2 linked regions of the Nothobranchius furzeri genome follow. The protein of the gene in region 1 purifies or fractionates together with the protein of each later gene. This does not show direct contact. Links are inferred from orthologs where the notes say so. Each region holds a gene or a part of one and is shown in the gene's direction. Other genes may lie near its edges.

Evidence for each region. Proteins that work in one complex are often made in the same cells at the same time.
Region 2: the proteins of nedd9 (region 1) and crkl purify together in Homo sapiens (affinity purification with western blotting; 4 studies listed by BioGRID). This does not show direct contact. The link is inferred for Nothobranchius furzeri from reciprocal best matches to the Homo sapiens genes NEDD9 and CRKL.

The regions. Positions count from the first base shown.
Region 1 is NC_091759.1:25,485,569-25,489,068, forward strand, and holds part of nedd9 (enhancer of filamentation 1), read left to right. Parts: exon of another isoform or gene 1-2,563; intron 2,564-2,570; coding exon 2,571-2,876; intron 2,877-3,500. UniProt on the Homo sapiens protein: Scaffolding protein which plays a central coordinating role for tyrosine-kinase-based signaling related to cell adhesion. As a focal adhesion protein, plays a role in embryonic fibroblast migration.
Region 2 is NC_091746.1:46,875,078-46,879,100, reverse strand, and holds the start of crkl (crk-like protein), read left to right. Parts: upstream 1-1,223; 5' UTR 1,224-2,173; coding exon 2,174-2,484; intron 2,485-2,911; coding exon 2,912-3,383; intron 3,384-4,023. UniProt on the Homo sapiens protein: May mediate the transduction of intracellular signals.

The DNA.
Region 1 (3,500 bases):
GTTGGTTCTGTTTGGCTAAAGGTCAAAGGTGACAGATCATCTGCTGCTGTGGCCCCAGACTCTGGACCTCTCTCCCTCTGAGCCTGAGATCAGTGGACTCAGTGGTCTCCTTTAAACTCACCTGTTCAGGCTTTTGTATGACCTCCATCACCTCCCTCACCTTGTTCTGCTCTCCCTACCTATTCCACCTTCCTCAGGATCCACTGATTTCCCTCTTTCCTGTTCACTCTCTCTCTCTTTCTTAACATTTTTTAAATCATAATTGTCTATTTTTGCTCATTTTAAATATATTTTTAAAATTTTCTAAATTATTTTTTATATTTTTACATTTATTGCTTTTGCGAAGCGCCTCGTGGTTTTTATCTCGAGAGGCGCTATAGAAACGATATTTTCTTCTTCTTCCGTTTGTGCGGATTCAGCCAGGATTCTGATCCAGGTCCGAGTCTCCAGAACCACCGAGCTGGATTTCAGCTTTGGCCTTCCCGGTCTGGTACCGTCGTTTGTCTGGGTCAGAGGTTCGGGTGCGTTCGTGGGCCGAGGAAACCGTTTCTATGCGTGTTTACTCTGATTGGGCGACGTGTTTGAATGTCGGCTGGTTCACAAACCCGCTGATCAGATCTGTTTGGTGATGAAGCCGAGTCGTAGAACTCCTCCTCGTCATCGCTGCTCTTCACCACTCGGTCGCTGACTGCAGCAAAACAAGACTTAATGTAAAAAAAAATCCAAAACATCAAATCTTGGTTGTGAAGGTTTAAATCTCCAGTTTTATTTGATGAAGCTGACGCTTAGATGTATGTCTGTACAGGAAGACGGACTGTTTGCCATCCTGCTACAGGAGCCCAGAAGGGACAAATAAAACTTTAGTTGTCGGTTTGAAGTAGAAGAATCCAGTCTGAGCCTGAGGACGTAGAAACGTTCTTCAACCTTTGAACGCGATAAAAACTCATCGGCGTGACGACGAGGACACGCCCAGTCGCCTCCTCCTGGCTTCAGACACGTCTGCTGTTACCGGTGACCTTTGCCCTCAGATATCTGATTCACTGGTTACAATGTTTGCGTGTTTGAAACCAGTGAGAACCTGTGAACAGCGTCAGCCCATTTCCTTGGATCTGTGTGGTCCCTGAACTCACCACGACGTCACACTCAGCTCAGCTCAGGGGGGAGGGGAGGTTTCAGGCTGAAGATGGTTTTAGATGGAGATGCACTGATTCTGCTTTTTAAAGCCGATACCGATTTCTGATTCTTGACCTGCTGCTCCAGATTTCCCTCTAAGACGTGAACGGTATGCAACTTTTAAAGTTTCTGATTGAACCTGATTGGATCCAGGCCTCCTCCTTACCTCAGTCATCCCTCGGCGTGGTTCTCCATCAGGAGGAGGAACAGAAGAAGAACGTTGGCTCTAAATAAAGCCTCCAGCAGACTGACGGGAAGCTGCCCGTGGTTTGGTTTGGGTGCTTCTGCGTTGATGCCAGCTGGGCGCAGATATTCTGGTCGTTGTTGTTTGGTGTCAGTGTGTTCAGGAGGACAGAAGGCATGTCTGCTCCCGCTGCTGGCTTAACCTCCTCAGCGAGGGTCTGGATGTTCTTCTGCATCAGGATAATTGTTTATCTTCGTCAAACACAGACCCTGCAGGCTTGTTCTCACGTGAGGGAGGACGGGTCAGAGCCGCGGCCTTTATGACCCTCAGAATAAAATACGATCAAATGAAGGAACCAAGTTCACAAAGGAGTTTCCAAAACATCTCCGAACTTTCGCCGGGGTTCTCGCGGGGCCTCACCCTCCGTCTGTGTTTACGCCGGTATCTCACAAGCCTGATTGTTCAGTCTGTCCCTGAACTCACCACGGTTATTTCCCATGACCAGATTCAGGTTTTATCATAAGGTGAGTTCTGTAAACTCCAGTTCCCTCAGATGAGTCAGAATGGGTGGGTTAGGAGGTCCAGGGCGGCCGGGCCCACCAACGGTACCAGAAACAAACCCACGGCTCTCCTGGAGCTGTAAAGGCTTTGTGTTCTGATCAGAGATTATAATCTGATTTAATCCTGCAGAGTTTCTTCTTCCTGTTTGTTTTCTTCTCATTCCGACCCAGACGGATCCAGAACCTGGAACTGCCAGGTTCTGGATCAGGCAACGTGCCCTTGAGCAAGTCACGCACATCTTAATTGCACCTAATGGGGCGTGCACGGCTGGAAGTGCACGGCCGCTCTACGAAGGTTGAAAACAAGCATTCGTGCCCGTTTCCTCCCTCCTGCTGATGCGTTTAACGAGCTAATCGGTCCTAAATGCCGCGGCGCTGGGGGCTCGTTACCCATGAGCCCTCACCAGACCTTCCCAAAACCCTGAGAAGATCCTGTCAAGTTCAGGTTCAAGCGCAGCTGAAGGTCGCGAGGTCGTGTGACTGCACGGCCTTTAGCAGCTGCTGGGGGCGGGGCTATGATGCCCTACGGGGTCATGATGGGAAATGTTCACCAGCTTTATTTGTAATCACCAGATTTAAACATGGATGAAAGCTGTGGTGTGTGTTTGAACCGTTCGGCGCGTCTAACAACAGTTTTGTTTCTGTGGCTGCAGAACCTGATGGCCAAGGCGTTGTACGACAACGTTCCAGAGTCTCCCGAGGAGCTGGCGTTCCGGAAGGGGGACATCCTAACCGTCATCGAGCAGAACACCGGCGGCCTGGAGGGCTGGTGGCTGTGCTCCCTGCGCGGCTGTCAGGGCATCGCTCCCGGGAACCGCCTGAAGCTGCTGATCGGACCCATGTTCGAGGCCCAGTCGTCGGGCGCCGCCGCCCAGGCTCCTGCTCCGAGCCTCCAGCAGCAGGGCCTCTACCAGGTCCCACCGAGGAGCACGCTCAGCGCTGAGAGCGCACCCAGCAAGGTGAGAGCTGCTCCCTTTATCGGCTAATCTGGCAGTTAGCTTTCTGGTGAATCCAGAGGAGGAATTACCCAGCAGCTTATGGGGTTTATTCTGATGAGATTAACGGAAAAGCTCGTCATTAGAAGCAGCTGCAGAGGTAGGATGGAACATGAGCAACCGGTCCAAGACCCTGGCCCGGTCCAGGTCCAGGTCTCCTAAATCTTCTGGTCTCCATCACTTTTCCAATGAGCAGCTGAACTTCTGCCTGCAGGAACGGGTCATGTTCAGACGGTCTAACCGGGCCGGTGAGACCCGGTTAGCTGCTGTTAGCTCGTCCTCATCCTGCTGCTGCACCGCTCAGCAGACCTTCAGGACAGCAAGCTCTCACCTCTTTCCAGCCTTCAGCTGAAGCTCAGGATTCCTGAAAGTTTAAGCTCTCCTCCTCCTCCTCCTCCTCCTGCTCCTCCTGCTCCTCCCCCCCTCCTCCTCTGGCAGGTCTGTGGGAACACGAGGAGAAAACTTTCCCGGTTATTCATCCGTGTAACTTCTCCAGACGTGATCGGATTAGAATTAGAACCTGAAGAGGTTTTTAGTTGAATCAATCCGGTTGTTGCCGGAATGATCTCAGGTGTGTTTCAGCACCTG
Region 2 (4,023 bases), on another chromosome or scaffold:
CCGCGGGCCTTGACTCTGACACATGTGATCTAACCTGTTCTATTTTTCTCTGAAATGAGATCAAATCAGTGCTCCTATGGGTTGTTTCCACTCTGCACTAGAAAATTTTACTTTATTTAGAGATGTGTCATAATTTCTCCCCAAGCACCCCCCCCCCCCCCCCCACGAAATTGAGTTTCAGTACACACAATTCAGAGATCAGACATACATGGAAAGAAGTGTGTCCCATTTATTGAAGTATTTTGTGTTTAGTTTTTGACGCCTTGTGCATGCGTAGTTCAGTTACGCTCATAACTGATAGCGGAAACTCTGGAGTTAAAAGTTTTATGGCTTTACTGAAATACCAGTCTGTACTTATTTGATTGATGGTAGTTTTACTTTCTATTAGACTCCAAATGTAATCATTTGACACGTTTCTAATTCATAATTTGTAAAAATGTAATTGTGATATTAGCATTAGCATTTCAATTGGTTTTTCCACGTATATCAGCATTGCGCTAACCACTCGCTGCCAAATTGCAGTCTGCGATTAGAAAATCTCCTTTTGTCTCATCGCAATTTAATTGCGCATGCAGTTAATTGTTCAGCCCTAATATACATGCAGCTCTATGCTAAAAGTGTATTTTCAAAGAGGTAATGATGGATTTCTTTGTAAAAGTTGTCCATCTTTCCAACAGAAAGATTTGCCTGGACCAATAACGTAACGTGATTACATAATTCCGTAAGGTTCATGTTCAGCCAATCAACTACTTTGACGTGATCGGCAGTCGACGGACCCCGAGCCGATCTTGCACCCGAGCAGATCTTTTACCGACACCGGCCACACCGCCACAGCTGGAAAAATAGGGGAAACACTGCCATTTTTATGGTTACATGTTATGAAGCCACCAATATTTTTCAACGACTGCATCATTTTATGCATTTTCAAAAATGTTTTGATAGATATTTCCAGAGATTAATGATTAAAAACTACACATTGTCTTACTTGTTTTTTTTTGGGCATTTCTTTTACTGGAACAGTGGTTGAAATTTCAATGATGACTCTATAAAGGGTTAAATCTCTTAAAATCAGATTTTTACATTGTAAATTTCAGAAAAGTCACGTGTTTTAGTTTTAAGACCAATCTTTTATTCTGTGTTCAGTGTTTTTTTGAGTGGCCGCGAGATCCTGACGTGGGGGTGGGGACCGCTTCGTGTGTTCGTCACCAGCCCCCCCTTCCTCCGCCCCTTCCCCTTCTCTGGTAGTCGGTGACGTGCAGCTAGAAAGCGGGACCTGCCCTCCCGTCGCCATTTTTTTGGGTCTAAAGCTCGCACTTTGGTTGGCTTGAGAAAGAGGAGGACTTGCTTGGGAAAAGAAAGGAAAGTACAAAACGTAGACTGTCCGAGTCTGGATACTTCGTGAGCCGTCAGGAATGCACGCGGGAGCTCCGGAGTGCGAGTCCAAGTCCTGGGATGCTCACGCGGCAGACACACCGCTGCATTGAATTTGTTTCTCGGGTGAAGACGTGTTGCGGGGCCGCCATTTTTCTTGCTGTGTTGCCTCAAAACTCTGCTTCGACTCAGAGAAGGAACTCGGAAAGCTCTTTATTTGACGCGTGCCTCGCCGTGAAAGGGATTTGAGTTATTTACTTGTTACCTACCAGCGGCTGCTGTCAACCTTTTGCTGACATGGGGATTCATCGGATGAAAAACTGAGGCCACCTTTTCCGTTCTCATAACTGACACTGTCTGAAAGAGATACACAATTTGTAGAAAAGCTTGGTGTTTTCTCGGAAGGCGGAACGAAAAGAAGGAAGCCTCTTTGATCGTTTGCAGCTTGGGTCTCCGACGGTGTTTGTTTTCTGTCAGTTAATCATTCTCTTCGTTTTGGCTCCTTCAACAATTCTTCAGCTTCGGACTGCTGAGCCAGAGGAAGCGCATTATGCTCCAAAGTTGGATCAAGTCACTCGCTCCCTATTCCTGAAAACTTCAGATTTATTTTGATTTTTCTTATTTATTCAGGTCGACAGAGCCTGCAGCGTTTGTGCAGAAATTACTGGAAACCGTTCCAGGGTGGCGCATGCCCTGCCCTGCATCTTCCAAAACCAACGGTTTGCTGTGAGAGTACGATTGCTTGAACTCCCACTTTCACGTGTTTTTTTTTAAATTTCTATTAACTTATATTTGAACAGAAATGTCAACTGCTCGGTTTGAGTCATCCGACCGCTCGGCCTGGTATTTTGGACCCGTGTCACGACAGGAAGCACAGAACAGGTTACAGGGACAGAGGCATGGCATGTTTCTAGTTCGAGATTCCTCCACCTGCCCAGGCGACTATGTGCTGTCAGTGTCGGAGAACTCCAAGGTTTCTCACTATATAATCAATTCTTTGCCCAGCAAGAGGTTTAAGATAGGCGACCAAGAGTTTGAACACCTCCCAGCTCTCCTGGAGTTCTACAAAATCCACTACCTGGACACGACTACGCTAATAGAACCTGCTCCCAGGTAAAAATCCCTCCTGTGACCACGAACTACTCTCTTAGATATTTTATTATAACCGGTTGTAGCATAGTTTGCACAGTTCGAGTTTTGCACATCTGGTTTACACATTTAAAGCCTGTGGAGACGTGGTTAATAAACAAGATGTGGATACTGGGTTTGGCTTATTTGGATGTATACTAATGCCTTTACTTAATTTTCCCCTTTAAATTGTTGTTTTTTGTAGTTGTCATGTATTTTAAACTATTGTGATTAAACCACGTCTGTGGAAAGCACACATAGATCCCAGTTAAACAATTATACACTAGTTTTTAGGTTTATTTCCTAAGTTTTAAGGGTACATAATGCCCATAATTTAGTTTTTTTGTTTGTTTCAGTTTTGCTTTGACAACAGAGTTGCATCAGTAAAGTGATTGATGTTTCTCTTCCCAAGGTATCAAAGTACCATCAGCAGTCCCATTCAGCCTATGATTGGCTTAGAGGAGAACCTGGAGTATGTGCGGACACTATACGACTTCACTGGGAGCGACGCGGAGGACCTTCCATTCAAAAAGGGTGAGCTCCTCATCATCCTGGAGAAGCCTGAGGAACAGTGGTGGAGTGCCAAAAATAGAGACGGACGTGTCGGTATGATCCCTGTGCCCTACGTTGAGAAATTGGTACGACCACCCCACCCTGGCCAGCCCACACACGGATCTCGCAACTCCAACAGTTACGGGATACCTGAGCCCTCTCACACCCTTGTTAACGCCTACGCCCAACCTCAGACGTCATCCCCGCTGCCTCCCGGCACACCCGGAGCAGTCATCAATCCACTTCCCTCCATGCCGAATGGTCCTGTTGTGGCAAAGGCTATCCAGAAACGAGTGCCATGTGCCTATGACAAAACAGCTCTTGCTCTAGAGGTATTGTAGAACTTTTATTTTTTTATTCGGTCAATGTTAAAGTTTGCACCAGATGTGAAATGTGTTGGACCAGCTTTTCCTTTCCTCTTTTCAGTTTAGTCCTTTACCAATTCTATTCTGGTGGACATTTTAATATATTATGTATTTAACGAACAATTACCATAAAAATTTGCACATGGAAGAACAAAATATTACTATGTATACAAGATAAGCTGTGTTAAAATTGTATTAGAAACATCTCGGAGCAGAATTTCTAAAAATGATTCAGTTTTAGTTACTTGGACAGCTTACCAACACGCACAAAATTGTAAAATCAATAACGTACAAAATGGAATGTGTTAAAGTCACCAGTAAAGTTCCCTTAAACAGAACGGAGTTGGACACCAGTACTGAAACTACACGGCTGCTTCATCAGGGTGTGAAACAGTCCCAGAATAACTCAAATCACTCTTCCAGTTCTTTGGTGTTCGTTATGCTTACATTTTAATGTGCTTTTATGCAAATATTAACCTTTTCCAAGTAGGAGTGGCTTTAACCTGTTTTTGACTACTTTTATGATAAATGATCCACACTTGTAAAGCGCTTTTCTGAGTCAGTGGACTCCAAAGTGCTTTCCACTATAGTGAATCATTCATCCATA